Diceros bicornis minor: one gene and its partners. The protein of the gene in region 3 interacts with the protein of the main gene of each other region in a biochemical or structural test. Links are inferred from orthologs where the notes say so. Each region holds a gene or a part of one and is shown on either strand. Other genes may lie near its edges.

What was found.
Region 1: of the proteins of CREB1 (region 3) and RPS6KA5, one has a biochemical effect on the other in vitro, tested with the Homo sapiens proteins (3 studies listed by BioGRID, with this or other methods). The link is inferred for Diceros bicornis minor from reciprocal best matches to the Homo sapiens genes CREB1 and RPS6KA5.
Region 2: of the proteins of CREB1 (region 3) and ATM, one has a biochemical effect on the other in vitro, tested with the Homo sapiens proteins (2 studies listed by BioGRID). The link is inferred for Diceros bicornis minor from reciprocal best matches to the Homo sapiens genes CREB1 and ATM.

Annotation. Positions count from the first base shown.
Region 1 is NC_080763.1:37,090,051-37,100,171, forward strand, and holds the start of RPS6KA5 (ribosomal protein S6 kinase alpha-5), read right to left. Parts: upstream 5,043-10,121; 5' UTR 4,857-5,042; coding exon 4,751-4,856; intron 4,450-4,750; exon of another isoform or gene 4,424-4,449; intron 1-4,423. UniProt on the Homo sapiens protein: Serine/threonine-protein kinase that is required for the mitogen or stress-induced phosphorylation of the transcription factors CREB1 and ATF1 and for the regulation of the transcription factors RELA, STAT3 and ETV1/ER81, and that contributes to gene activation by histone phosphorylation and functions in the regulation of inflammatory genes.
Region 2 is NC_080746.1:27,548,220-27,558,573, reverse strand, and holds the start of ATM (serine-protein kinase ATM), read left to right. Parts: upstream 1-5,981; 5' UTR 5,982-6,163; intron 6,164-6,563; 5' UTR 6,564-6,744; intron 6,745-7,513; 5' UTR 7,514-7,558; intron 7,559-9,920; 5' UTR 9,921-9,950; coding exon 9,951-10,022; intron 10,023-10,106; coding exon 10,107-10,219; intron 10,220-10,354. Other genes in the region: protein NPAT, read right to left, coding at 5,574-5,610.
Region 3 is NC_080749.1:84,402,139-84,412,813, reverse strand, and holds the start of CREB1 (cyclic AMP-responsive element-binding protein 1), read right to left. Parts: upstream 4,039-10,675; 5' UTR 3,955-4,038; intron 3,949-3,954; exon of another isoform or gene 3,839-3,948; intron 1-3,838.

The DNA of each region.
Region 1 (10,121 bases), on a different chromosome or scaffold from region 3:
AGATGTTAGCTCAGGGCAAATCTTCCTCAGCAAAAAAAAAAACCCCACAATGAGACGCCACTTCATACTCACTAAGATGGCTATAAGCAAAAAGACAGACAATAACAAGTGTTGACAAGGATGTGGAGAAACTGAAGGCCTTGTACACTGCTGGCGGGATGTAACGTGGTACAGCCATTTTGGAAAACTTACAAAGTTAAACATAGACTTACCATGTGACCCAGTAATTTTACTCTTAAGATATACCCAAAAGAAATGAAAACGTAGGTCCACACAAAAATTTCTAGATAAATGTACATAGCAGTATTATTCACAATAGCCAAAAGGTGAAAACAACCCAAATGTCAATCAACTGATAAACGGATAAACAAACTATGGTATATCTATACAACACAGTGGTATCTGTTAATTAAAAAAATGAAGTGCTGATACATGCTACAACATGGATGAATCTCGAAAACACTATGTTCAGTGAAAGAAGCCAGTCATAAAAGACCACATACTGTAAAATTCCATTATATGAAATGCCCCTAGGCAAATGTACAGAGACAGAAAGTAGAATCAGCAGTTGCCTAGGGCTGGGGATGGGTGGTGGGAATGTGAAGTGCCTGATATAAATGGGTAAGATATTTCTTTTTAGGGTGATGGAAATGTTCTAAAATTAGACTGCAGTGACGGTTGTATAACTCTATAAATACACTAAAATTCATTGAATTGTACACTTAAAAAAGTGGATTGTGTGGTACTTAAATTATATCTCAAAAGAAGTTGTTTAATAAAAAAGACATTGCAGCTTTGATTTTGCTCTTTCTCTTCAATCACTTGTTCTGGGGGAGCCAGCTGTCATGTCATGGGGACACTCAAACAGCCATATGGAGAAGTCCACATGGCAAGGAACTGAAGCATCCTGCCAACAACATGTGAGTGAGCAGTCTCAGAAGGGGAGCCTCCAGCCCCAGACAAGTCTTTAGGGGGCTGCAGACCTGGCCAACACCTTGGCTACAACCTCAGGAGAGACCTTGAGTCAGAAACATCAGGTGAAGCAACTCCCTAAGTTCCCAACCCACAGAAATCATGTTGCTTTAAGCCACTAAGTTTTGGGGTAATTTGTTACACAGCAATAGATAACTGATAGCCCTTCGCTGACCCGTTCCTCAGTGTTAAGCTCTCTCCTAATGATGGACATCTAAGGAAATGTCTTCCCAGCAATCTTTCCTCTTCTAAGGGTTTAGTTTCACCCCTATCAATACCTTTACTGTCGTAGCTGTCATGTTAGCGGAACATGATCCAAAGAATCATGAATCACCCGAAAGAGGGCACCTCACGAAAGCCAAGCCAATAATGTTCTTTTCTGAGATTTTTATATCTAAAGCTCAGAAAAAGGCAGTGTTTCTCCAGTACCTGAAGCCGTAAGATGTAAAACTTGGGGTCTGTCAAAACGATGTTCTTTCCCATTTGGAAAGAGCTGGACAGCAGTGGAGAAGAATGAAGCCATCACACAGAGACAAGCAAAGATTCAAGATGGAGAGAGTTCAGACAACATAAGCCTCTGCTTCCAGTGATTCCTGATGAAACCCTGTCCTTCCAGTGGGAAGACCATATCTGTCTTGGAAACCCAGCATCTAAAACAGCACTCATAAGAGGTAATGAAATATTTATGGAATAAATGCACAGATAAGATAACCCAGTATTCTTCCAATAACCCCCTCTTTTTTTGTTGCTATTGCTCAACAGAGAGTTAGATTACTTGAAACCTCAAAGTCCTAACCTCTTCTTTGCTACCTTTATACTCTGAATATCCCTCTATTATTATACTTATGGCAATATATTCTAATGTCTGGTTTACATGGCCTCCCCCCTACTATCAGATGGCAAGACATTTTCTTGCTCATTTTTGGTATCATCAGGACCATCTAGCCTAGAAAACAGAAAGTGTTCAAGAAATGTTATGTTTAACTGATCTTATCAATCCTTTACTCTTCATTGTTTGGCTTTTATAGTCACTGTCATCAATTCATCAACCACCTAACACCTCCAAGGTACTGGGAATACAATAAACTGTTAGACTTGGTCCTGAATTTTCATCCATTCAGTGAAGTCATTCAACAAATATTTGAGTACCTATCATACGCCAGGGGCTAAAAATGGACAAAGGACATGGTGTCTGCCCTCAAGGACCCTACCGTCTAGCACAGACTAGTAAATCAATTGTTACAGTACGGTGTGTTAAATGTTACTGAGGCGCTATGCACAGGCTGCTACGCAGCAGCAGGGATCGTGGGGAGTTTACACTCTACTTCAGAAAGCAAGACATGTACAGAGAGAGGCAACAGCTTGGCAATGCGGCATAGCCTAAGCACCAAATGAGTGATTTGTTTTCCAAGTTACACTGGATTAATTCACACACTTTAAGAAAAGATACTGTTATAAAGTGATTTTTCAGATTTACATTCAACCAACATCTCCTGAGTGCCTAATACGTACGCACCAAGCAACCTGCTTAGCACTTTTCCAACAGGGTCTCATTAAATTCTCACATTTTGTACTTGAGAGAAGTAAGTCTGAAAGAGTGAAGCGGCTTGCCCAACTCTACATAGCTATTGGGTGGCAGAGCTGGGATTTAGAATTAAGTTTTCCAAGCATGCCATGCTACTTGGTCTAAACAACTGGAACAATTTCCATGTCTTTACATGTGACTCTTACTGCCTTTTCATCCATCCGACGGCACAGAATACAGTGTTGGGCACAAATGGGAAATCACCAACTGCTGACTTGATATGACTATACGCTTGTCCACATTTTGAGAAGGGACCACATCAGATCAAATTACTTTGGTGCCTATTATAGCATCATGTGCTAAGAGGAGCACAGTTGGCTGAAGATGAGTGAATCTTGCAAGTTATATTTTAACAGTGTTTTTGACCACTATATCCGGTCAGTTGTTCCAATGTTCAGCAATAAATCAAAATGACTGCTCACTTCCTTTGACAGTTAACAGTACTAATAAATTCAGTATAATCTCACCATCCATCAGAGAAATTTCTAAAGTGCAAACTTGAAGCTGATGATTCACACAGTTAGTAGAGAAGGGAAAATAAAGCAGTATTCATTGTTTTCTATAAAACTAGCATTGTTTGCAAAACCCAGAAACAGAGTAGTTGGTTGACTACTAATAACAAGTAGGTTTGCTCCTTGGTCATTTAGCAAAAAGCTGCTTGGTTGCACCATGGTCAACAGCTGAGAAGCATATGATCTCAAGTAGCTTTTGCTGTACAGCACGATTCTACATATATAAATCAGTGACTTGTTATGTAAGATAAGAAAAAGAAATTCAAAATCTCCACACCAGAAGGCACCTGCCATTGAGCCTGGCACAAATCAGATATTAATACTGAATCAATGTTTATTGAATAAATGACTTAACAGCCCTTTGAAAACATCAGTTGTCTATTAAATTGAGATAGAAAAATCAAACCAGCCAAACCTACACAGGTTATGTTAGGAACTCAAAAAGATTATGCAGTAAGAGCCTCAAGATACATAACAAATTCACAATGATGAAAAAGACAGTGTTCAAAAATGTTGAAATAAGTAAGCATGTAGTTGATATCCCCTTTAAATTACAGTCACCACACTGGCACTCAGTGGAAAGCTAACCATAGTCTCATTAGAAACAACAAAAACTAAAAGACCCAGGGCAGATCTAACTTTACAATCTGTTCAAAACAGTAACAAGGTGTACTCGGCATACATCTGAAACCTGCTGTATAAGCTGTGTCCACACAATAAAAGACTATCCCAATACGCCAAAGAAGCTGAGTCAAAAACCTTAACACACGCTCACGAGAACATTTCATAGTAATAATGAACAACTCATTAAAATGTATTATCCGTTCAAAAATGAAAAAGTATCTCTAATAGGAGACTGCGCTCCACAAATATAAACCCGAACTGTACTGATGAGTCCAAATAAGCATTTTCCAAAATGAAGAACCTGGACCCACACAACGAATAAAGTAATCCAATAAGTATAACGATTGTGACAACTCTAGTGATCTCAAACACCAGAACGTAAACGCTGAAGCCGGCTAGTCAGCCGCTTTTACCTAGAGCTTTACATTTAAAGAGCCGTCTTCTCAAGAGACCTTTGAAAGAAATTCAAGGCCAAGTATAGCATTTCATAATAATTGCAAATAAAAGCACTCAGTCCCCGAAGCCTACGATCCCTCTTTATCTCACTGGAGATCGGACTCATGAAAAGCCCGAGGGACAGCCACCCTGTTATGTCGTACACGACTCAAAGCACCTTAGGGGACAGTTCCACAAACCCCCGCCGGGACCACCTCTAGGGAAGCAGAGGGGTGGAGAAGGGAATCACTCTCCAAAACAAAGCGTCGCTGACCCCACACCGAGGAAGGCGCACCTTTCACCCCTGACAGGATGCAGTGACAGATGTGTCACCTGTGCAGGAAGGGGGCGCGAAGACATCCCCGGAGACGAGTGCCAACACTGCTCCGCGGGCCCCCGCGCCCCCCGCCCGTCGCTCATTCCCGGGCTCCAGGAAACTTTCGGCCGCTCCCCGCCGGCGCGCCCCCACCTGCAGGACCCCCGGCCCCCGCCCGGGCCGCCGGGCCCCGCCCCCCCCGCGCCCACTGCCCGGCCCCGCGCCCCCCGACCCGCGCCGGCACCCGCGTGCCCCCGGGGCGCGCCCCCGCGCCGGGCCCGGCCGGCAGAGGGCGGGGTCGCTCACCCGTCCGCAGCTCGTGCTTGACAGTGAGGAGCTGCTCTCCCCCGGCGCCGCCGTCCCCGCTGGTCCCCGCCGCGCCGCCGCCGCCGCTGCCACCCTCCTCCTCCATCTTCTCCGTTTTCGGATCCCGCGGGGTCCTACGAGGGGACCCGGGAGACAGCGGACGCCCGGCCCCTCACAGCTCCTGCTGCAGCCCCAGGAGCCGGGGTGCGGCGGCTCCACAACTCGGACGCTGAGACGAGTCTCTTTCCCGCTCTGGCCGCACGGCTCGCTCCTCCGCCTCCACCCCCTTCGGCGGGCACCGCTAGTACCGCGCAACCAAACCGCCCCCTGCTCCGCCGCCTCCTCCGTCAAGCCGCTCCGCCCACAGCCAGCAAGGTAGAAGAGCCATTCGAGCCGCCATCGCTTATTGGGCACAGGGCGCGCGCATCTGTCAACGCCGGCTCCCATTGGGCAGTCCGCTCTGACGCTGCGCGAGCTGCCCCGCCCCGCTCCTCGAATTGTTGTTGCTTGGCGCGGAGGCAGGAGAGGGAGGAGCGCGACCGCTGCGGTTGGTGAGACCCGAGATTCTGCCCCGCCCATTTCCCCTAGTGTGCACGCGCAGTCTGGACCTTCCCTTCCCTTCCCTGACCTCCCAGAACGGTCACACCCCTTATTCCCCAGCTTCGATCTGTTAGTAAACAGTATCTAGTAGTCAGGAGGCCCTCCGGGTCTGTGATTGGATACTGCTGAAAGAGGCGGGGAAGGCTGATTGGAACGTTTGGTCCGCCAATCACCGTGGACAGAGGCGGGGCGTGGAGGAAAGCGCTTCTCACTCACGTGTTTGCAGACGTGCCTGAGGGTCTCGGACAGCGATCCACAGGTGTGTGACCAGCTGGAAGACAGGCTGTCTTAAAAAGGTGTTACTCGCCCTAGTGAGCCCTAAGCAAGTTAAGTGGAGTTTGTGCTTAGAGATAGTTCTTAGACATTGCAAAGATTCACAGTCCTAGCACTCGATGAAGACTTCTGCAAAGGATAGGCATTTTCATTTTGTACAAGTCTTATCCTAGGCACCAAAAGGATACAGAGATTAATAAAATAGAATACAATCCTGGTCCCTAAGCTGCTTTCAACAGAACATTAGAAACAATCTGTGTATATACACAGGAAACTATAAAGCAGAATTTGAAATAAAACCGTCGTACAAACTGTTAGAGAATCGCACAGATGGCAATAATTATTCTAAGCAGAGGAGATGGGGAATGCTTTTAGGGCAAGGAGGCATTTGATAAAACCAACTTAAAGGATAGGTAAGATGGAAATAGCAACAGACATTTCCTACAGAGATGGTAACTGTGAGCATAGGCCTGGAAGTAGAGAAGGCAAGGGTGGGTTAAGTGATTGATAAAGCTGGGTGGAACTATGATGTAAGAGATAACAGCTAAAAAAGTAAAGTGCGTTAAGATAATGGAGAACTTTGACTACGCTGCTAAGCAGTGCAGACGAGTGCAGGATGGGAAGCCTCAAAGAATAGTTACAATATCAAAGCTGTTCTCTTGGATGTTAGCTTCGGTTTTAGTGAGAAGGAGGAAGAATACTGTTGCAAGAATGGAATTTGAGGGCCTAATCGGACATGAGAATGGGAAAAGGAGAGGGTTAAAGATGGATGCTTGGACGTAATTCACATAGAAGTAGGCTTTTAAACTAAGCATGGATTAGATCAGAGGTCAGCAAACTTTTTCTGTAAAGGGCCAAATAGTAAATATTTTAGGCTTTGCGGGCCACATGGTCTCTTTCACAACTACTCGACCCCCGCTATGGTAGCAGGAAAGCGGCCATGGACAATAAGTAAACTAATGGATACGGCTGTGTTCCAATAAAACTTTATTTATGGACATTGAAATTAAATTTCACATAATTTTCACATGTCGTGATATATTCTTCTTCTCATTCTTTTTAACCATTTAAAAAAAAAAAAAAAAAAACAACCAAAAGGAGGAGGTTCAGAGAGCTTCCACATTGGGGAACCAGATGCTTCCATGTGCTACCAGACTGGGCCCCAAGCTGCATGGGGACAGAAGCTCCTTTGTCCCGGACCTGGCCCTGTGTGTCTCTTCCTCTGGCTGTTGATTTGTATCCTTTAATGTCCGTTGTAATAAATCAGTAATCTAGTGAGTAAAAAAAAAAAAAAAAAAAAAAATCATTCTTAGCTCTTAAAAAACAGGCGGTGAACCAGATTTGGCCTGCAGGCCGTAGTTTGCAGACTCCTGGATCAGACCGCCACGGAAAAGAAAGCTGAGAAGCCTGGGCAGCCCTTTCAGGTTGCCTCAGCTCCCTGGGCTTACCTGCCTGGAACATCTATCCCAGTAAACCAGGACTTCCTACTTACTTGTCTTTCTCCTCCACAAGGAGAAAGCAAGCATGCTATGGGAGCCGGAGAATGTGTGCAATTGTTCATTTGTTCACTCGACACCTTTTACACCAATTATACACCAAGTGCCATGATAGATGCTAGAGGGACAGTGGGAGCAAAACAAATACAGTCCTCGCTCTCACAGAGCCTACAGTCTAGGAATGGAAATAAATATTAAATAATCACATACAGAAGTGTAAACTTTACAATGTGATCATGCTGTAAAGGAAAATTATAGGATGCTACAATAGAATGTATTGGGGGGCCTAATTTAGGTTGGAGGAACTTGAAAGCCTTTATAAGGAAGTGTTATTTAAGCTGATTCTTTAAAGATAAATAGGTTTTAACGAGGATGTGGCAGAGACTGGCCTGATGCTTACCAATCTCATTTCCTCTTCCTGGACACACAGGAAAACTACATTTTTTTTCTCCTTTGCAGTTAGGCGAGGGTCATGTAACTGTGATCTGGCCAATGGGATGTGGGCAGACATGATGTGTGCCATTTCCAGGCCTGGTCAGAAAACCCCATGCGTACTCACTCACACTCTCTTCTCTTTCCACAACAACTACAAAGGCCACATTTTGAATATGGAGATGCCATAATTTAGAAGAACCCTGAACCCCTGAGTCCCCACTGGAAGAAGAGCTACCCTAACCTGCATCAGACCATGATGTGAGCAATAAATAAATCTTTTTAGGCATCAGCTACTGAGATGTTGGGATTGTTTGCTACCAAAACATAATCTAGCCTACCCTAACTATTTCACAAGTGAATTGTTGCGGGGAGCAAATTCTAGGAAGATGCAGATGCAAAGAAAGACCTGAGGCAGACAAAGAGCCTGTTGTATTTTAAGGATTGAGAGAAAGCCAATGGGGCCATCATACAGTAAGTAAGCAAGAGATGAGGTGAGGGAGGCAGGTAGAGACCCAAGCATGAAGTGTGTAGTACGCCTTATTAATATTTTTGGAGTTTTTCTGTGTGAAGTCAGAAGCAATAGGAGGAATTTAAACAGGGGAATGATACAATTGGGGTAATATTTTCAAAAGGTCACTGTGGTTAGTATTTGGAGACCTGGCTGGAGGGAGTGAGAGGTGATACAGGGAGACCAGTCAGGAGGTTATCACTGTAGTCTGGGCAAAAGATGGTAGTGGGTGCAGTAGATATGGAAACAAATGGAATGCTTCTATTATATATTTTTGACTTCATGAAGGATTAGATTTGGTGGGTGAGGGAAAAAGGTATATGTGAAATGACACCAAAGTTTCTAGCATGAGCAACGGAGTGGATGGAAGAGGATGGTGGTACCATCTAATGAGAGGGGTGAGTTAAAGGAAGAGCACATATCAGAGAGAATATCAAGAGTTTAATTTTGAGACATCTAATGGCAATATTAGGTAGCTATGTGGCTATATGAGTCTGGAGCTCTGCAGAGAGGTGTACGATAGAGATATAAATTTAGGACTCCTTGGCATAGAGATGGTATTTGAGGCCAGAAGTATGAATAAGTTTACCTGGGGAGAGAATGTGCAGAAGGAAGAGAAGAGGAGCCCATGACTGAAGTCTAAGGAATTTCAACATTGAGACGTTGGAATGAGAAGGTGGAGCCAGAGGCGTAGGAGGAAAACCAGGAAGGTTCTGTATCTTGGAAGCCAAAGTGTTTCAAGAAGGAGGGAGTGCTCAGCTGTGTCACATGCCCTGAGAGGTCACACAAGATGAGGTCTGGAAAGAGCCCATGAATTTGCCAACTTGGGTGCCATTGGTGACAATATTCAAAGTGGTTTTGGTAGAGCAAATGACAGGTGAAGGGGTAGAAACAGTGTATGTGGACATATTTTTCAAGGAGTTTGCCTCTGAAGGAAAATAGAGAAGGTGCTAGCTGCCAGGATCTGGAGAGATTTTTTTTTTGTTTTTCACTTTTTATTTTCAAATAGTTTTTAAATCACCGAAGAGTTGCAAAAGACAGTATAGAGTTTCCACATACCCTCTAATCAGATTGCCCTAATGTTAATATGTTACATACCATGGTTCAATCGTCAAAACTGAGAAATTAACATTGGTACAAAATTTTTAAATAAACTACAGACTCTACAGATTTCACCACTTTGCCATAAAAATGGTTTTTATATTTTTAAATGGTTGAAAAGAATTAAAAGAAGAAGAGTATACCGTGACATGTGGAAATTATGTGAAATGTAAATTTCAACGTCCATAAATAAAGTTTTATTGGAACACAGCCATGTCCTTTCTCTGTGCCGGGATCCAATCCAGGATCCTACATTAGGTTTAGTTGTCGTGGCTCTGTAGTCTCCTCCAATCAGTAGCAGTTCCTTAGTCTTTCCTTGCTTCCCATGACCTTAACTCTTTTGAAAAGTACTGGTCAAGTATTTTGTAGAATGCCCTTCAATTTGGGTTTGTCTGATGTTTTCTTATGATTAAATTGAAATTACACATTTTTGGCAAGAGTACCACAGAGATGATGTGCTCTTCATCAATTCATCATACCAGGAGTAGAAGAAGTTTATATTCTTATTGCTTGTGATGTTAACCTTGAACACTTGGTTAAGGTGGTGTTTGCCAGATTTCTCTACTCTTAAATTATTATTTTTCCCATTGTAATTAATAAATATTGGGAAGACGTGTGAGATACTTTTAGACTATGCAAATATCTGGTTTCTTCTTAAGCTTTCTCCCACTAATTTTAGCATCCATTGGTGGATCTGCCTACAGCAGTTATGAGACTGTGATATTCTAACAGTAATTTTCTATTCGATTGTTTTGTGTGTGTGTGTGTGTGTGTGAGGAAGATGAGCCCTGAGCTAACATCTGCCAATCCTCCTCTTTTTGTTGAGGAAGGCTGGCCCTGGGCTAACATCCGTGCTTATCTTCCTCCACTTTATACGGGATGCTGCCACAGCATGGCTTGCCAAGTGGTGCGTCGGTGCGCGCCCAGGATCCAAACCAGCGAACCCCGGGCCGCCGCA
Region 2 (10,354 bases), on a different chromosome or scaffold from region 3:
GGGGCAATAAGGAAAAAGTCTAGAAATACTCCTTAAGGGTGTGATAATGAAATAAAGGCTGAGAAACACTGCCCTAAACAGAATGCAGTGATATAGTTAACTTTACTCAGAAAAATATGGTCATCTGTGCTAGCATACCCCGGGGAATAGAATCACAGATCAGATCGTTTATGGCTTCTCATAAGACCTTATACTTTTGCACAGTATACACTTCAGAAAGCCTTGTTAAAAAGCTAGATTACTTCTATAACAAGTGTGTAAAAGTTATAATGGACCTTAAAATAGCAATATCTGAGATATATATCTTCTGCTTTTAAAAAAACATGCCCAACTTTGGGCAATCTACAGTTCCCATTTTAGATTAGACTTGATGTATTTTGCTTTACTTTCATCCTAGAAGTTCCAAAATAATGCAATAAAGTAACAGTTGATGACTTCCATATTCATTATTACATATATAGTTAGCCAGTTATTTGCCTACAAAAAGCTTATTTATCAAGTATCTGATTGTAACCAATTCTCATTCAGAATAGGTCAAATTGTAGATACAAATTATTCTAAATCTAAAATGTCACAATGAAAATACAAACTAGGGACCAATTATCTGTTATCATAATAATAATACAAATAATTACTCTTCAATCAACGTTAGTTATTGTTTCTCCTTTTTACTCCTAAAAACCACTTTAGAGTAAAATAACTATATATTTTGTGTAAACTTACTGACAAGGATGTTCCAATAGGTAAGAAATAAGTTTCCCTTTTTCTTAATACTGTCTTCTGCCTGCTTTTCAGTGGAGGTAGTAATGAGAAACAAATAGACCGAAGGGGAAACATAAAACGAAAAAGAGAAGGAAAGATAAAATCCTATATCTAAGGTATTCAAATTGTAGAAATTGGGATGCCCAGAGTCTGCTTTCTCTTCTTCCTATTTATAGAGAAGGAAAGATAAAGAGAGAGGTGCCTGATGAAAAGAGCAAGAGACAGCAAATCCCCCTACCTGAAAATATCTCCTTCACATATTTTAATAATTTCCCAGAAATATCAGTGGTTTAATGACCTTAAAAAAATGTTAAATAATTCTTGGGAAGACAATTTATGGTGCCTTACATTACTAGATCCACAAATAACAAAGACAAAGTCGCTGTCTATAAAGAAGTTATGATCTACTAGGACCCAGAAGATATATATGCAAATAACTATAATACAAAGCAAAGGTGGTACAATAGAACTTACTTCATGTGAGGATAGGGGCTAGAGAAAGTATTACCAGACTTGGGGAAAATTATGCATGTTTCAAGGAAGAGGTGAGTCTTGAAGGATGATTGGGGAATTCCAATGAAGCTGATGGAAAGCATACAGGGAGAGCATGTTTGGGGAACATGCCCAGTTTGGATGAGAACAGCTGGAGATAGAACTGAAAAGACAGAACAGGGAAGGACCATAAAAAGTAGTAAATGTCAGCAACAGCATTATATTTTTATGAATAAACAGAATAAGAATAAATAGAATCTGAATAACAGAAAACAGAATAACAGAATCTGAATAAATGATAGATATTATTCAGTAGACAAAGGGGAATGTCATGATCACAGTTGCACTTTGGTAAATATTTAACAAATATCTATAATGTCTTAGTGATATAAAGGTGAATAGGACTAGGTGCTCTTAATCTTTCAGGGTGTGCCAGTCCTGGTTCTGTTCGTCTTCAAATCTATTCTTCCTCTTTCCCCTGCTCTGCACTGTATGACAGGAAACCTGACCCCAAGCAAGCAATGTTTCACGTCAGCTGGCTTCTGGCTGAGTTCAATCAATGGGAAGCACCGGTGGGAGACTGGAGGGCAGCTGGAAGAAGCCACGTTTTTCCCTCCCATTCCTTCTCTGCCTTGGTAGAATCTCTTCTACAACTACTGCTCCTTCACCAGACAACTCTACCTTCTATCTTCCACACAGTGAGCCCGGCCTCTGGGTTGCTTCGTCTCGCACTGTCCTCCTAATTATCACAGTGGCTTCTTGCTTTGCTACCCTCTGAGTTGTCTCATGTAAGCGGCTTGTCTTCTTAGCTTTTCTATCACCAGTGTAACTAATTCCCTCATTAAATCCCTCCATGTTAAATACTCAGATTGTTTTGTTTTTCTGAATGGACACTGAATCAACACAGAAAGGAACAAACCTATTTAGGAATCTAAAGAAAATTCTGGATCTTTGACCCATAAAAATGACTCACTTGCACATAAACCTTTATAGATAGTTTTGGGGGCTCCCAGAACTCTCAAAGCCTGTCCATTAATCCCAGATTAAGAATACTGAATAGGACACAAAGGTGAGTAAGTTTCAGTTTGTGAAGATGAAAAAGTTCTAGAGGTGGTTGATCGTGATGGCTACAGAACAACGTGAACGTACTTAATGCCATAGAACTGTACTCTTAAAAATGACTAAAATGGGGGCTGGACCGGTGGCACAGTGGTTAAGTTTGCGCAGTCCGCTTCTGGCAGCCCGGGGTTCACAGGTTCGGATCCTGGGCGCAGACCTACGCACTGCTTATCAAGCCATGCTGTGGCAGGTGTCCCACATAAAGTAGGGGAAGATGAGCATGGATGTTAGCCCAGGGCCAATCTTCCTCAGCAAAAAAGAGGATTGGCAACAGGTGTTAGCTCAGGGCTAATCTTCCTCACACACAAAAAATGACTAAAATGGTTAAATTTTGTTTATGTATATTTTACCAAAAAAAAGTAAGTAAACACACAGCTACAATAAAACACAGTAAGGGTATAACAGAAGTAATGTACAATGCTACAGGAGCATTTAATGAGAAAGTAATAACTGTACCTGCTGGAAAAAGTTTCAGAGATTACGTCTGAACCTTGAATACAAGTGTACTAAGAGAGGGAGAAAAACACTGCATGCAGAGGGAACAGAATGCATTAAGAATATTTGGAGAAACTGCAAGTAGTTTGGTATGCCTGGAACACAAGGCGGATGTTGAGAAGTTGAGATCGAGCTGGAGAGGCAGGTAGGATCAGTTCCACAGAGCACCTTGTGGGACATACTGATAAAAAACAAACAGATGGCCAGAGGCAATAAACAACGCATTGATATATTCTGGCCTGCACAATATTTAAAGAAATTCCAGTAAAGGCTGATTAAGAGGAGTAGTGAGGTGCAAAAGTCAGTGCAGTATGTTGAAGAATGAAAGGTAGGTGAGGAAGAAGAGTACTAAATAGAGTTCATTGTTATTTGAATAAATTTGACTTGTGAAAGGGTGACATAGAGCACGAGACAGAATGTGAGGTAAGGTCTAGGAAAGTATTTTGGGGGGTGTGTGTGTGTGAAAGGGCAAAAAACCTAATTATATGAACTCTAAGGGGAGAACTTACTTCTTTATTCTCAGCATTTGGGACAGTGTATGGAACATACTAGGCTCCCAAAGATTTTCTGAAAGAACATTATAAAGAGAAGGCGCCAACAACAAGAGAGGGGATGAAGATGGGGAGGGGGTACTGACAGAAGAATCATGAGCAAATAATAAAATTAATATTTTAAGCCACTAAGTTTCTCTATGTACTGATATGAACTTCAAGGTATATATCGCTAACTGAAAAAAATAAGACGTGAGTATGAGATTTGCTTTTTTTGTATTATATATTCTTTTGCACAACTTGAAATTTTTGGTTAAGTGCACAATTGTTTCAACTTTTAGAATAGGAGGTGTAATGTGACTGCTTTAGGCAACTTTTTGTAACAGTAAACAAGATAAATTGCAAGACTATATGAGAAGCCATGACAAAAGTCCAAAAGAGAAGTAATGGGAGGTATATTGCTAGGATTGGTGACAATGACCAATGAAATGTGAATGACAAAGAAGAACTTTAGGATAAGAAAAAATGACTCTGGAGTTTTCACCCATCAAAAAAAGAGTAGGAAGTCAAGTGAAGCAGCTGCTTTGTGGAGAATAAATTCACAAGTCGGTGTGAATTATTCCAGTTAGAAACTCATACTCTTTCTTAAGACCAGTGTTGTTAACTGAGGGTGATTTTGCCCTCCACGGAACATACTGGCAATATGTGGAGACATTTTCATTGTCACAACCAGGCAGGGGTGCGGCGAGGAGTGGGGTCCTACTGGCATCTATCGTATATAGGGCAGGGATGCTGCTAAACATCCCACAATGCACAGCACAGCTTCCCCATATTAAATAATTACCTGGCCCAAAATGTCAACACTGCTGAAGGTGAGAAACCTTGTTGAAGACTATGGTTATTAAAACAACTGGATTACCAAACTACCAAAGCTCAAAAATTCTTAAGTAAACAATATGCATGGAGTAAAAAATAAAGTATGTCAATGTTATCATGAACATTGTGAAAGTCTACTTTCAACTGGTTTCAATATAAGCCTAATAAACATAGAAATTACAAGATAGCCAGCTTTTTCTCAGATACAGATGTAGGTTAACAGTTGATATTCAGTTTTGATAAAGTGGGCAAAACATTAACCAAACATTAACAAAATGTTAGTTTAAACTTAAGTCATTAGTTTCTCCAAATATGGGTAGTGGAACCATTACTCTAATATTTCCTGCAAAAGGTCCTTATCAAGAGCCCGTGCACAAACACCATTTTTTTGGGACAGGGCTGAATATTTAAAAAAGAAACAAGACAAACAGGTTTTTCTAACGATAAAATAATGTAGTAACGGCTGTGTATACTACAGGCAGTTTCTTCACAGATGTTTACCATTTACTTTCAGGGGCATCGCATACGATGTCTGCAGACCACTGGCTCAGGTTTTGAGCTTTATGTGGCTCTCGTTCCCAGCAGTACAATCCTCTCTATTCTTTCAGGGGACAAACAACAAAACCCGTTTCCCACACAGACAATACACTCTGACAAGTGGCCCGTGGAACTAACCCTCCTCAAATGTAGGAAAAACTAACTAGGACTAGAAAACGTTCAAATGGAAGGCATTTCCTCAGTGAAATTTCTTGCTAACCAAAAGAATAAGAATGGCTGCTGTTTTAAAATACGCAACTGGCATTTCAAACCTCTACACTGGACGACTAATGGCGGGGGGAGGAGGATGGAGAGGGAAGGGCACCCCGCTTCGTCCCAAATTGGTTGTTCTAAGGGCGAGTTATGAGAAGGGCGTCAGGAAGGTCTTTCTACAAAGCTGGGTGGCTGCGGAAGTCCTTATTTTTCCTAATTTGGTCCCAGCTCTGACAAGGGAAAGTGCGCCCACGGTGCAAAAATACGCAGTCCGTCCGTCACGTAGACAACCCTCCTGCAGGGGTCCCAATTAAGTGTGCAGGCCTGACTTTCCCTCGGAATCCGGGCCTCAGGTGTTCTCTTCCCTCGCCACGCAGCCTCCGAGGAGAGACTATCCCCCCCACCTCCCCACAAAGAGGCTCAAACTGCCCGAGCCCCCTGCTAAAGGAGAATCACCGCCAGTCTGAACTTGTCGGCGGGGAGGCAAAACCCCGAAGCTTCCCCACCCAGGGAAAACCTTTGGCCCCAAAGGTCCCTTCGTCCTGCTTATCCTGGCCCAATATCCCTCCCTTCCGCGTCCGCGCTTACCCAATACGAGCCGGGCTACGTCTGAAGGTAGCAACATGATCGAAGCCGCAGAAGGAACCACAGTAAGAGACAAGACTCAGGTAAAAGGCAACACAGCGACAGCTCCTGCGCCGCATCTCCCGGTTCCAGTGGCGGCACTGAACCCGCGGCAAAGTGTCCCGCCTCTTTCGCTCCACGCCAGCCAATCACTTCCGCACGACAAAGAAAGGCGCCGAAATGAAACCCGCCTCCGTTCGCCTTGGGACTGACGTCATTTCCGTCCTCATATTTGGAGGGGTGGGGCTGAAGGGGGCGAGGAGGTGGGGCGCAAGCGCAGAAGCAGGAGCCAGAGGGCGAGCCCCAAACGCAAGGTCGCTCGCCATTGGTGGGCAAGGCGCAGGCGCGTTTCCTTAGACGAGCCGAATGTTTTGGGGCAGCGAGTGTTTGGAGCGGACTGGCGCGTGATGCTTGGCGCGCATGGGCAGACGCGCCGCATGGTCTGCCTTACTTCTTGCTCCCGAGTCGGAAGCTGCGCGGTCAAGCCAGGTTTGAACCGGAAGCGGGAATAGTGCGTGGACGCCTGGATCGAGCTGCTGTTGCCGCGGGGGACGGTGAGTGGGGCGGGGATTTAGGCTGCAGCCACCGCCGCCCCCAGAGATTACAATTTGGCCACCAGAGACCAGCGATAGGGGCGCGAAAGCCACGCAGTGGCTTCTGCGTGGGGGAATTCAATCGTATCCGAGCCGTTCTGCCCTAGTCCCCAGTCACCCAATCTCATGCGCTCCTCCAGAGCGGCCCTTTACTCCTCTCCAAACCACGTCTTTGCCGGCCTCCTGTCCTCATCGCTTTCTCCCGCCCTCTCTCCGAGCCCTTAGCGGACTTGGCCATGAACCTTCTTCTAAATGCCCTGAATTGAACCCCCCCTGCGCGTCCCCTTTCCCTGTCACTTTAGAGTCCAGATTTAACTAGATGACGTGACTAATCATCCTTTTTTCTCTCTCTCATAATTAGTAGTTTTAATCAGCGAGCATTTGTTGAGGCTTAAACTACCGTCGCGTGGTTAAGAGCGTGGGCTCTGGAAACACACTGCTGGAGTTCGAAAGGTGACTGTCTGTTATGTGACCTCGCCGTACGGATGTGATAGCCTTGCGTGTGGTCAGAAGTCAGGAGCGTTCGCTGCTGTTTTTACCAGGTACAGATAAGTAAAAAGACTGTTACAACTCAGGGTGATAATGTGATGGAAGAGTACTGTGATGGTAGAGGAGTGAATGAGGTTCTGTGGAAATTGAGCCTGGAAGAATCAATTTAGTTCGCAGTGGGCCCTCGCAGTGTTAAATTGCTCTGGAGGATGGTAGGAGCCTTCTAGACAAGGGAAAATGCATGTAAAGGCACAAAGTGTAGAAGGTTCCTGAAGCTCAAGAGTGAGGTTTGGCATTGAATAAAATAGATTTGGGTATTTTCAACATGTTGAAGTCATAGGAATGGATGAGATCACACTGGGAGAACATAGAGTGAGAAGTAAGGAGACAAGGATGTTCTTTCAGGTGTGGGTGGAAGAAAAACCATCAAAAGAGACTCATGAAACCATCAGAAAAGGGGGCCGCCCCGTGGCTTAGCAGTTAAGTGCGCGCGCTCCGCTACTGGCGCCCCGGGTTCGGACCCCTGGCGCGCAGGGTCGCACTGCTTCTCCGGCCATGCTGAGGCCGCGTTCCACATACAGCAACTAGAAGGATGTGCAACTATGACATACCACTATCTACTGGGGCTTTGGGGGAAAAAAGGAGGAGGATTGGCAATGGGTGTTAGCTCAGAGCCGGTCTTCCTCAGCAAAAATGGAGGAGGATTAGCATGGATGTTAGCTCAGGGCTGATCTTCCTCACAGAAAAAAAAAAAACAAACCATCAGAAAGGGAGGGAATAATGATAATTGCTAACATTTATTGAGCATTTGCTGTGTTCCAGGCACTGTGTTAAACATGTACATGAATCCATAGATAACTCTTTGAGGTAGATTCTAGTGTTGTTTTTCATCATTGAGAAAACTGAGGTTTAAAAAGATTAACTAACTTGCCCAAAGTTATACAGCTTGTAAGTGGCAGGGCCAGGATTTGAACCAGTACAATCTGGCTACAGAGCCCACACTCTTACCACTAGTAAAGAGTGGCATGCCAAGGGCAGAATTATATCCAGGAAGATGGGATGTAGGCATCCTGGTCAGATTCTACAAAGGGATCGACTTAGTTGAAATCTAAAAAAGAACATTGAATTTGTCAATTCAGAAGCTGTTACTTAGCAAATATGTATTGTTTCAGTTGCATGTTGGCAGTGGAACCTAGTTAGTTCTGGATTCATGTATTAATTGAATTCAGCTTTATCTGGTGACACTTACTCTAGCTGACTACTCTCTAGTTCTTTGGTCTTCTCTCAGTTCCTCCAATATACCATGCACTTTTCCATCTTAGGACCCTCTGGCTATGCTATTCTACTTCCGTAAAATGTTGGTCCTCTAGCTCTTTCTGTAATTGGCACCAGTTCATTCAGATCTTGGCTTTATTGTAACCTCCTCTGAGATGTGTTCTCAGTTTATCAAAAGTGGTCCTCTCCGTTGTTATTATATATTTGTTTCCTTTGAGTCATATATCACAATTTGGAGTTATACATTGATTTATCACTATACTTGCTTATTGTCACTCTCCCTCACTAGTTATGACTCCACGAGGTTAGGATTTGTGTCTATTTAGTTCATTATATGTTTAGCTATCCCTAACATAGTACCTCAAACACAGTAGTTGCCTAGTAAATATTGTTGCATGTATCAGTGAATGAATATCTCCTGTTTATATAGATAATACTGAACTGTTGTGTTTTCTTGAAAGCAATCAATGTTTGAGAAATGGAAGGAGGAAAAAACAAGTTCAGAAAAGCCACAGCTTAAAAAAAAAAAAGTTTAAGGCTGCCTCTTCCTGCAAGTATCACATGCTCAGTAAACATGCATTTTTTCGCATTACAAATAACGTCTTTAGTATATTTAGGAATAAAGATGCCTGCTTTTATGGTGCTTTGGATATTGCTAAGGTGTTTTCATTGGCTAGAATTCCAATTTTATTTTCCTTATTGACTCAATCAAGAGGGCTTTAAACTAAGATTAAGCAAGAAGGGGGAAGAGTCTTAGATAAAACCATAAGGAGTGGAAAAATAAAAATGACAGTACATGTACTCCAGAAGTATACAATCAAATGAAAAAAATTATCAAATACATAACAACCTGTAATCTACAGCAGAGTAAAGGAGGTTTTAATAGGGATAAAGGAGTCAGAACAACCAATGAATACAAATGGACAAGAGAATTAGAGCTATCTGCCAATGAAATAGATAGTTTGCTCTCACTGAGAGTGAGGGATTTCTTCTTTTGTAGGAAGATTGGACATGATCTTTCAGTTCCTCCCAATTTTAAGATTCTGTGAGATTAAACAAGGGCAGAGAAACATACTTGATCTTGAAAGATTGAGTAGAATTTGTGTGGATGGATGGGAAAAGGACTTTCCCCACCATTTTTCCTCTTGAGATATGTGCTCGTGTAGGTATAATAAACATTTATATGTACATTTTTTCTTTGTTTATAAACTAATAAAAATGAAGCTTCTTTGTAAAAAGGTGCAGAAATACTAAAACAAAATGCTTTTCTTGTAAGATTTTTTTTTTAAATTAGGGTTTGATCATGTCAGAAAACCTAACAGCAGGAGGGCTACTGTGATGGCATTAAGGCATAGTAAAATATAGTTGACCTTTGACATTTGCAAGGGATGTCGTTATAGCATATAATTTCCTTCATTTCCTTTTAAAACAGGAATATCATTTTCCTCCTAGTTTTATGTATTGAATGAGAACCGTAAAGCCAGTTGAGTGCTAGGCAAGACTTACTAGCTCTGATAACCTCCTACATATCCATTCCAAAGCATAAGCAATTTAAACTTTTGCCTCAGCAAACTGGCAAGTCACTAAATTTAAGAAAGGATGCTTTTAAATAGTTCAGCCAGTCAGTGTTAAATCCTTAAGTGCTCTTTTCCGTATTCTTTGTCTGACGGTCCTCTATTCATCTTTTATGTTTCAATTTAAATGTCATGTTTCATAGAAGAAGTCTCAACAATAAAGTAAATTATACGTTTCGTATTTTTATTCTGCTGCTGCACATGAAGCACACATTTTCGTGTTGAAGTTTTGTTATGTTCTAGGAAAATATCATTTAAATATGGAAATGTTAAGAAAAATCATTGTGCCTTTGATCACAATATGATTAGTTGTACAGTTAGATCTAACTATGTATTAATACCAGTCTGAAATAATTTTATATCTATATGTTTTTTTACAGGCAATGATGTGTTTTCTGAAATTCTAAACCATGAGTCTAGCACTTCATGATCTTCTTATGTGCTGCCGACAACTAGAACATGATAGAGCTACAGAACGAAGGGTAGTAAATTACTTAAATTTAATCTTTCCTTGAAACAAGTGTGTGATTGGTAACCCATTGTTATGTTCTTTTTTTAATTTTCAGAAAGAGGTTGAGAAATTCAAGCGCCTGATTAGGGATCCTGAAAACATTAAACATTTAGATCGGCATTCAGATGCCAAACAAGGGAAATATTTGAATTGGGATGCTGTGTTTAGGTATCCATTCTAATTTTTTTACTGTGTTTTTCTCTTTCATTTTTATGTCTGTATATTTTATGTCTCTATATTATTTTTTTGTATATGTAGGGCTTATTTATCTTTGCTCCCTGTATACGGGTTGTGCCTTGCATT
Region 3 (10,675 bases):
AGAAAATCATCAAAGAAAAAGGTGATGAGTATGTAAAAAATAATTAAACGAAGGGAGAAAGCTAAGTACACTAATCAGCATTACTGGATGATAATATCATATGAGAATAGTCTGCTTAAAAAAAAAAGGACTGGACTCCATGTGGTGTTCTTTCTCATTTAGAGAGAAAGAACCATAGAGACTATTTTGGCTGAGATAAGAATAGAAGGAAGTAGTCTGTTCAGGGTTATTAGAACCTCAACAAGAGAGTTAAATTCACTTTAAGAATTAACACTTACATAGCTTACTTGCCTCTTCATGAACATTTCGATCAAGTTACAAAAAACTTTTAAAAACTGGAGCTGAAAAGGTAATGACACAGTTCAAATAACAACTTCCTGTCACAAACTGGTATACCTCATTCAAATGAAATGTCTTTCACCAAAAGAAATAAAGACATAATGACAGCTCCCCTTAGTTTAAAAGGTCATATAAGACCTAAATATAAAATCTGCTCACTAACTGGTTAATAAATACAGGTATACCCATATGATGAAATGCCTCATAACTAAAAAAAAAGAAGAAGCTCTTTATGTACTGATGCAAATCAACTGCTCAGCCATATTAAGTGGAAAAAAAGCAAAACATAAGACAGTATATATGGTATACTAGCATTTGTATAAAAAGTGGGGAGGAGAGTACATACATATTTGCTTGTGTATGGATAGATACCTCTGAAAGGACAAATAAGAAATTGTAACACGAGTGACTGGGGGTGGGGGTACACACGACTTTTTGCTATATTTTATATGTTTTGAATTATGGACTATGTGAACAAATTAATTAAGAAATAAAATTGGAAATATTCTTCCATTACTTCACCAGGTGTGATCTCTTTTTCCTTTGATTGCTTTCTTATGACACATGTTCTGCCTTATTAGTCACTGTGTCCCTAAAAGTTCCTGGAAGGTACAGATAAGACAGGGTAATTCATCTTGGGATTCGCTGCAGCTTCTGCCTAGTCTTTTAAACTTGGTAATAATAATGATGATGAACAATTTAAAAAATAATAAGAAACATTTGTTGAGCACTTATGAAATGCCTGGCATTAAATATGTATTAACTTATTTAATCCCCACATTTCTATGAGGTAGTTATTGTACATTTATGACCAAGGAAAGTGAGGTATGAAGAAACTTGCCCAAGGCTCCATGGCTAGGAAGTTAAAATAAAGCTTAAAAATGAACAGCTATCATTGAGTCCCTAAGGAGCTGCTTTATAATTATGTCACAATCCTATAAAGTAGGTGGTTTAAAATTATTCTAATTTAACATATAAGGAAACTAAGGCTGAGAAAGATTAAGAAATTTCCCGTAGGTAACAAAATTCCTTGAGGGCAGGCATATGACAGTAATGGCAACAGTAGGATTCAAACCCAGGTCTGTGATTCCAAACCCAATGCTCTTTCCACTAACTACATTCCGTCACAGTAAGCGCTAACTCAATACCTGAATTACCACAAACTGTTGTCTCAAGTGATACTGCAGTAGAGATGAGCTCACACATGAGTAAGAAAAAAAAAAGTTCTGCATTTTTTCCATTCTCTGACTATCTACTAGATCCTTAAATTCAGATTTCAGCTCTCACTATTCAATAAAGAAGCCATCACTGGAAGTGACACTATATCAAGATGCTTACAAGACTATCTATGTCACAGGCTGGCTATAAACAAGTTTATATAACCATATCAGATGAGACATTTATGGAATAAATGAAATTATAAATTTCAGTGATACATTGTAAGCATTAAGTTACAAGTAAATAGTTTTTTTCTACTGTGGAAAAAAAGAAAAAAGATTTTTTAAATGAGGCGAAGCGGGGGATACGTACTTGGTTTTACTATAACCACATTATACCCCACAAAACAAAATGCTACCTCTTACAATGAGAGGCAAAATACAGCTGCTTCTCTATGAAGAAATGAATTTCTATTAATCAGATCTAACCAAGAAAACGAATTTCAGAAAACAGAAAAAGGGAGGTACCATTTTACGGATCAGGTTTCTAAGGTTCCTTAGCCTCGTATGTGAAAAAAACAAAAAAATTCAAAATGGGTACCACTAGAGTTTTAAATTCCACAAGAAGTGACCTTTTAACATTTTTTGGTCAATTTGTGTCAAAGATTCATTTGCTTTGTGAATACATGTGTCCATAAAAAGAAAAAAAAGGTTCAAGCAGATTTAACTGTAATTTTTACTGATCCCTGGGAAGGGGCAGAAGTATAATTTAGTACCATGCACCAAGTGAATATTCAAATGTTAATTAATTTAAAAGTTTGAAAAGGTTCACCTGGAATTGCTAAGAATTACAGATTATGAATTTATAAATAAGATAAAATTTAAAAGATCTTTTGGACAAAACTGAAGAAAGAACCCATCAGAATTTTTTTTTTTTAATTTCACAAAGGAAGCGTCATTGCCATATATTCTCTCTAAGGGGAAAAAACATTCTAGTCAACTGATGCTGGCTTGCACAGAATCTTTCTTAAGGAAAAAAAGTCAACAGAGCATCGTCAATACTATAATTTCCTCAGTGTTTGGAAATAAACCCATCTTCCCAATCCTTATGGAAACATTCTCTTTATTACATCTTAATTAAGTTTCTCAGCAATGACAAATTGCTAATTTGGCTTTTTAAAGACTTGCAATACAGTGAAGTAGATTATGCAAAAGTGATTTGGATACAGAGAAAACAGAAAACAGTGCATCTGTTACCAACCAATATTTATTCCTAACAAGAAACTTTGTTATGTATCAATCACAATTTTATCATACTGTGATACGTTAGTATGTTTAAAACAAGTAACCTGTTTACCTTTCGCATCACCTAAAATAACCGTTTTGCTTTCACTTTCCAATCACGAAGCGTGCAGTGAGTGTAAAAGATTCCAATAGCTGGCAACCAAAAGTATCTTTTATGCTAAAGCTTCAGAGGACAGAACTGCCGCGAGCTCAGGCAGATGAAATTCTAACTTCTGGAGAAGGGAAGACAAACTTTACTGGGTCATATCCCAGGTCCTTTGAAAACTGTCTTTTCATCTTGCACGTGTCACTGAGTTTCCGATGTGCCTTGCTCCCAACAGGCAGAGAAAACGCGCCTTGCGGGTCAGACTGCTGTCGGTCTCGGGCCGGGGCTACCTACCGCGTGTGACCCACAGGGACGACCTCAAACGGCCGTCTCCGGAGCCAGCGCTGGCGGTGTGCGCCCGGAGCGGGGGCCGCGGGCACGGCCCGGCGCGGGGCCGAGGCGGACCCGCCGGCGCGGCGGCGGCGGCGCCGGGCGACAGCGCTCCCGCGCCGCCTCGGACGGGACGCGGCGGCCACCGCCTCGCCGACAGGGCTAAAGCGAAACCGTCCGCAGGCGCAGCTTCCCTTTACGAGCTCCGACAGTCTCCTAACGCTGCGCGGACGAGCCTCCTCGGCCTCCTCCCGAGGGCGAGCCCGCGACCACCGGCTGGGACGGGGCGCCGGCCGTCCCGGGGCGGCGGGCGGGCCGGGCCGCGCACAAAGGGTCCGCGCTCCGCGGCGGCCGGGCAGGCGGCGCGGGGCTCGGGGCTCGGGGCTCCGCTCCGCGCCGCGGGAAGCAGGCCCGCGCCCGCCCGCCCCCCGCCGAGCGCCGCCGCTGGCTGCGGGCAGAGCCGCCGCCGTGCCCGGCCGCCGCTGCCCGGCCGCCATTACTCTTTGTTCGGCGGCGGCGCGGCCGCCCGCGCTCCATCTTTGCGGCGGCTCCTGCGAGCGAGGCCGAGCGGGCGGCGCGGGCCCGGCGGCCGGCGCCTGCCTCCGCCTCCTGCTCCTCTTACCGGCGGTACGAGCGCCTCCGTCACTGCTTTCGTTCGCCGCCCGGATCTCGCTGGAGTTTTATTCTCTCCCCCACGTAACACACCGCGTCAAACTACACCTCCGCCGCGTCACTCACCAGCACTCGGCTTCTCCCAGCCGCCGGGCCACAGGCAGCCGCCGCCGCCGCCGACTGAGGAGCCGCAGCCAGGGAGCAGCCAGCGCCGCCCAGTGCCGAGTGCGCAGCGGCCGCGCCCGGAAACAGCCGAGCGCGCCCGGAGAAGCTCGGGCGGCCCCGCCCCGCGCGCCGGAGGCGGGGCTTCCGAAGGCCTTCGGGCGTCTTCGGGCGCCCTCGGGCGCGGCGGGAGGGAGGCGGGGAGGGGAGGCGCGGTCTCTGAGCGCCGCGGCGGCGCTCGGAGGGCGCTGCCCGCCGGCGGAAGTGTGACGGAGGGAGTGGGGCGCGCGCCGCCCGCGGGGAATTCCCGGGGGCGCCGGCGGCTGGACGGAAAGCCCCCGCGGCGGTGAGCGGCTGCGGGGGCGCGGGGGCGCAGGCTGGCGGGAGGGCGGCGGGCGCGGCCGGGTGGGAGGGTCCCCTCCGTGGGCCGCCCGCCCCGAGCACCTGCGGGGATCCCGGCGGCCGGCCCCCTCAGGCGTCGCCCGCGCTCTCCCCACGCAGGTCCCGCGGCGGTGGTCCCCTCTGCTCTCTTCACGGCGCCCCCTCACCGCGTCCTCCCTTCTCCTCACCGGCCCCCCTCCCCGCGCCCCTCTCCCCTCACCGCTCTCCTCCCCTCACCGCGCCCCCCTCTCCTCGCCCCCCACGGCGCCCGGGTCACCACTCACCACCCTCACCCCGCCCCCTTCCCCTCACCGCCCCCCCCACACACACGGCGCCCCGGTCACCACTCACCTCCCTCCTCACCCCGCCCCCTTCCCCTCTCCGCCCCCCCCCCCACGGCGCCCCGGTCACCACTCACCACCCTCACCCCGCCCCCTTCCCCTCACCGCCCCCCCCACACACGGCGCCCCGGTCACCACTCACCTCCCTCCTCACCCCGCCCCCTTCCCCTCACCGCCCCCCCCACACACGGCGCCCGGGTCACCACTCACCTCCCTCCTAACCCCGCCTCCTTCCCCTCACCGCCGCCCCCCACGGCGCCCGGGTCACCACTCACCACCCTCCTCACCCCGCCCCCTTCCCCTCACCGCCCCCCCAAGGGCGCCCCCGTCACAGCTCACCTCCCTCCTGACCCCGCCCCCTTCCCCCTCACCGCCGCCCCCCCACGGCGCCCGGGTCACCACTCACCTCCCTCCTCACCCCGCCCCCTTCCCCTCACCCCGCCTCCTTCCCCTCACCGCCCCCCCCCACACGGCGCCCCGGTCACCACTCACCTCCCTCCTCACCCCGCCCCCTTCCCCTCACCCCGCCCCCTTCCCCTCACCCCGCCCCCTTCCCCTCTCCGCCCCCCCTCCACGGCGCCCCGGTCACCACTCACCTCCCTCACCCCGCCCCCCCCAAGGGCGCCCCCGTCACAGCTCACCTCCCTCCTCACCCCGCCCCCTTCCCCTCACCCCGCCTCCTTCCCCTCACCGGCCCCCCCCCCACACGGCGCCCCGGTCACCGCTCACCTCCCTCCTCACCCCGCCCCCTTCCCCTCTCCTCGCCCCCCACGGTGCCCGGGTCACCGCTCACCTCCCTCCTCACCCCGCCCCCTTCCCCTCACCGCCGCCCCCCATGGCGCCCCCGTCACAGCTCACCTCCCTCCTCACCGCGCCACCCCCGCCCCTCACTGCCCCCTCTCCTCACGGCGCCCCTGTCACCGCTCCCCTCCTCCCTCCTCACCGCCCCCCCTCAGTTCTTAAGTGTGGAATCCTGCCGAGCCGAGCCAGCCTCTGCTTGAGTCCCACGAGGTACGCTCTCCTGGGTGGGCTTGTCCTCTCTGGTGGCTCCGGAGACCCCCTGCCGAGACCGTCCGCCCATAACTCAGGCCTGCGTCTTGCTCTTGAACTCTGGACTCGAGTTCTAACCGCCTTGGCTGCGCTCGCATTTGGATGACTGGGGCGTCCTGTTCCCTCCAGAAGCCCCCTCCCGTGGCCCGTGACGGGAAAGGGCGTCCTCTCCATCTGCTCGGGTCAAGCCAGAAGCCTGAGGCACCGCAAACGCACCTCAGAAACACCGAGACCTGTTGGCCCTAAAAAACGATGCGTTTGTGGCCTCTCTCCCATCTTTTGGCCACTTTTTCATCACGCTGTCTTCGAAGCCACCTTCATGTCTTGGTGAAGTCCTACGGTAACTGCCATGCAGGTTCTACAGAACTGCTCGTGGCTCATTCCAGTCCAGTTGTGTACTGCAGCCAGAGTAATTTTTTAAAAATACAAATCCGATCAAGTCACTACCCTGCTTGAACTCCTTCAGTGGCTTCCCTTGGCTTGCTGGACACAGTCTAAGCTCCTTATCTTGGAGACCAGGCCCTCCACCGTCTGGGCTTGTCATTCTCCCCAGCCTCCCCAGCTGTCCCCCTAGCTGTCTGCACTCCAGCCATATTCGTCTTTTTATTTTTTCCAGGCTCTTTTCTCTCTTTTTTTCTCTATCGTAGGCTCTCACCTCAAGGTATTTACACATGCTATTCCCTTCCCCTGGAATTCTTTTCTGTCACCCACTTTCCTACCTAATTGTAACTTACCACTTTCCTTTCTGATTCATCACACTTGTAATTATTCGTTTACCGTCCTTGTGAGGTCCGTGCAGGTAGGAACCACGTCTGTCTTGTTCACCACCAGCTTTCACCTCCCCTCCCCTCCCTAGCACAATGTTTAGAATGTAGTGGTGTTTGTTAAATATTTATTGAATTAATAAGGAATATCTGTGTGGTTCCGGGCAAAGTTTCTTAGTATTTTTGGGTTCAAATCCTGGCTCAGCCACTTTCTAGCTATGTGACTTTGGGCAAATTATTCACTCTTGTGCCTCAGGGTTCCTATCTGTAAAATAAAGACAGTAATAGCACCTGCATCATAGTGTTATTGTGGTAATTAGATGAGATCATTCCTGGCAAGTGTGCTTGGAACAGTGTTTGGCATGTACTGAGTGTTAACTAAAGTGGTGCCTCTTACTAGCTTTTGCTTGCATATCTCACCCTTGTGTCAAATACATTTTCAGAATTGAGTTTATCGTCTTTGCTCTTCTTACCCTGCCCCTATACATGATACCCAAATTTTGGAATTATTTACCCATAGCCTATATTTACGACCCACCAAATACAGTAATTTTTTATTTTAAAATTTCCTCATATTCTCCTGTTCACACTGACCTTCATGTAGGCTCTGTCTCTTCATGTCTTAGTTACTTTGCTAACTTCGTGGGTGCTTTCTGACTGCAGGCCCACTTCCCCTATTCACTCGTGCCCTACTCTCAGACCAGTGGGCTTCAGTTATTAAATTATGTGTTCTCCTTGACTTCTGCTCTCCTTGCCTCGTTCTCACCTAACTTTGTTCATTCATTCAATCATCCATTCTTTAAGTGCAAGTTATTTTACTAACCATTTTAGATATACTTTGGATTTGAAATCTAGTCTCGCAATTTCATGTATCCTGCTCTAGTATCTCCATAAACCATAGAAATGAACTAGAAATGTCAAACTTTCAGTATCCATTTTTTGTCTCTGGGACTTGGAAGCTACCTCCATCTATGACTCAATTTTTCAGTTGGAAAATGTGGTCAATATTGGGGAGATGAGAGTACAGAAGAGCACTTGGCTATAACTTGGCATAAGATAAGATAGATAGGTAAGTGCCTTGAGAGAGGTCCAGAAAAGGGGGAAGATCTCATGAGATGATTAGAAAAGGCTTCAAGGAGAAAGTGGTATCTGAGAGCTTTTCTCTAACCACACCTTCCTTTTCCTGTTATTTTTCTCTCTTGCTTCCGCTGTTGAACCTAATTTTTACCTCACTACGAACTGAAGTTCCATGAACCCTGCCTGTTCTAGTTCATCACCTCTCATGACTTAATTTGCTTTCCTCCCTAACCCCAAGGCCATGGTGACCTATTTCATTTATTCTAAAATTATCTGTCAAGCACCTACTTTGTGTCATGTACTCTTTTAGAAACTGGGGATATAGCAGGGAGTAAAACATTGTTTCTGCTCTCAAAGGTACTAAAATCTTCATCCTCTTCTCTTTTTGACATTTTTGTTCACTCCTTTGTGCTCTCATCCAGTCTTATGATTGTAAATGTAATGGTTATGCTGACAACTCTCAAAATTATATCTTCTCCCCAAAACGGTCTCCCAAACTCCAGACTCATTTAAACAACTACCTACTCACACCTCCTCTTGGATGTTGTTCTGGTTCCTAGAATCTGAGGCAAAAGCTTTTGTGCTGTTATCTTATTAGGGAGTACAATCCCAGGGAAATGAGGATAGGCAAAAGAAGTGAGTCAGGAGAGGAGGTCAAGGTTCAGTCAGTGGGATGTTAACACTGCCCTCCTCCCCAGCACATACTTCCCTTTTGTGTGGGCACCAAACAGACCCTCATGTGAGATGTGTGGCCTGAGCATGAGGCAAAGTATTGTTGCATGGTTACTGCCTGAGATTGGTTGCCCATGGCAATAGGAACAGAATAAGTGGCCAAAGGCCCCACAGGCAAGGGGCCAAGAGGATCTGAGATGCCCCAATGCTCTCAAACTCACTCTGTCCAAGTCTGAACCGATATTCCTCACATCTGCACCTGCAGCTTTTTCCGTCTTAATTGTTGAGGGTAAAATCTTGGCATGATTCTTAATGCCTTCCTTTCTCTCACACCCCACATCTATTCCTTTAGGAAATTTTATTGACTGTGCCTTCAGAATATATCCACAAACTGACTACTTACCACTTCCACTGCAAGTGAGCCAGGTCCACAGTACCTTTGTCTCTCACCTGGATTACTGCAATTGCTTCTTAAGATGTCTCCCTACTTCTTCCCCAGGCACACACCAGCCACACTTCTGCCTTAGCACCTTGGGGCTGTTTCAGTGCTTAAAATACTCCTTTCCTAAATATCAAGAGAGCTAACTCACTCACCTTCAAGTCTTTGCTGAAATGTCACTTTCTCACTGAGGCCTTGACCATACTATTTAAAATTGCAACTTGACACCCACCTCCACCACCCCCATACACATCCCACTTTTCTGGAATCCCCTTACCCTGTTAATATTTTTTTCTATGTGCTTATTACCTTCAAACATTCCATCTATTTTACTACTTTTTATGTTTATTGTTGACTGGCTCTCCTGCTAAACTACAAGTTTTAAAAAGCAGTCTTTGTTTTGTTCACTGATGTATCTCAAACACTTGAAACCAGGCCCTGACATATGATAGGTGCTCAATATATATTTGTTGAATGAATTTCCAACTTGCCTGTCTTCAGTCTTAGGTAGTTCATACTGTTCGGATTTATTTTCTTGGTTGCTTTTGCAATTAAAATGAGGAGGTATATAATAGATTTCCTTCTTGTTTGGTAAGATTTCCTATAACCTTAATGTAATAGATATCCATAAGTAAATATTCTAGATCAGGAAGCAGTTGAAATCCTTAACATCTCTCTATTTATAAGAGCAAAAAAAAAAAAAAAAAAGTAAATGACCCAAATGTCTCCACTTCTAGTTAACTATTTAATTCATTTTTTGTCCCTTATTTATACATGGTCTCTTTTAACACTTATTACATTGTAACTGTTCATTTGCTTGTCTGCATCCTTTATTGAACCATGAGCTTCCTAAAGGCAAAGTTTTTTTTTATCGAACTTGCGTCCCTGGTAACTAGCATATAATAGGTGTTCCATAATGTTTCTTGAATGAAAGAATGAGTGAATAGTTAGGGTTTCTCCAGTACTGGTCAAGGGAGAGGTACCCTGCCCAGCTGATTCAAGCATCTGATCTACTTAGTGTTTCTTCCCCTGCGTATAGTGGGGTGCTTGAGACTCTTCATAGTTGGAATCAGTGCAAGGTGGAGCTGTTCTCAATGCTCATGAAGTAATCTTGTGATTTTAATTGTGCTTTCCAAATAGTTTTCCAGCAGAGAAGAGAAAGCACTGATCTGTTACAACTATTCCTGGTCTGTTTACCAGTTACAGTTCCCCATGTAAATTAATATATTGCTTCTTAAAATTAATCTTAACCGCAAAAAAACTCTCGACTTCCACTTCCTCCTCTAGTCTTTTTTTTTCTCTCTCTCTCTTGACGGTAAATATCCTTGAAAGAGTTCTATGTTCACGGTCCCAATTTCTTTTCTCTCATTTTCTGTTAAATCTGCGCCAACTAGCTCTTGCCCCCAGCATTCCACCATAACTGCTCTCCATTTTACTTAATCCAATGGTTTGTTGTTAGTCTTTTTCCCACTTGACCTATCAGCAGTGTTTGACACAGTCGGTCACCCCCTCCTCCCTGTAACACTTCCTTCACTTGTTACACTTGTTTCTTCAGTGTTACAGGACACTTCACTCTCCTGGTTTTCATCGTACACTACTGGTCACTGTTCTCAATCTCTTTTACTCACTGACCTCTTAATATTGGAATGTTCCAGGACTCTGTCGTTGGACATCTTCTGTTTCTCTGCTCTCCCTTAGTGATCTCATTCAGTCTTATGGCATTAGACATGATAAACATGCTCACAACTCCCTGGTCTCAGATCCAGACTTGTATATCCATGGACCTCAGCATCTCTACTTGGATGTTTAATAGGCCTCTCCATTTTATTATACCCCAAACTAAACTGATCTCCCCTCCCTTCAAAAACCTCTAGCTACAACCTTCTCTATCTCAGTAATGGCAACTCCATCATTCCCATTGCAGAGGAAGACTCAGCAACTCTTTTATACCCCACATCCAA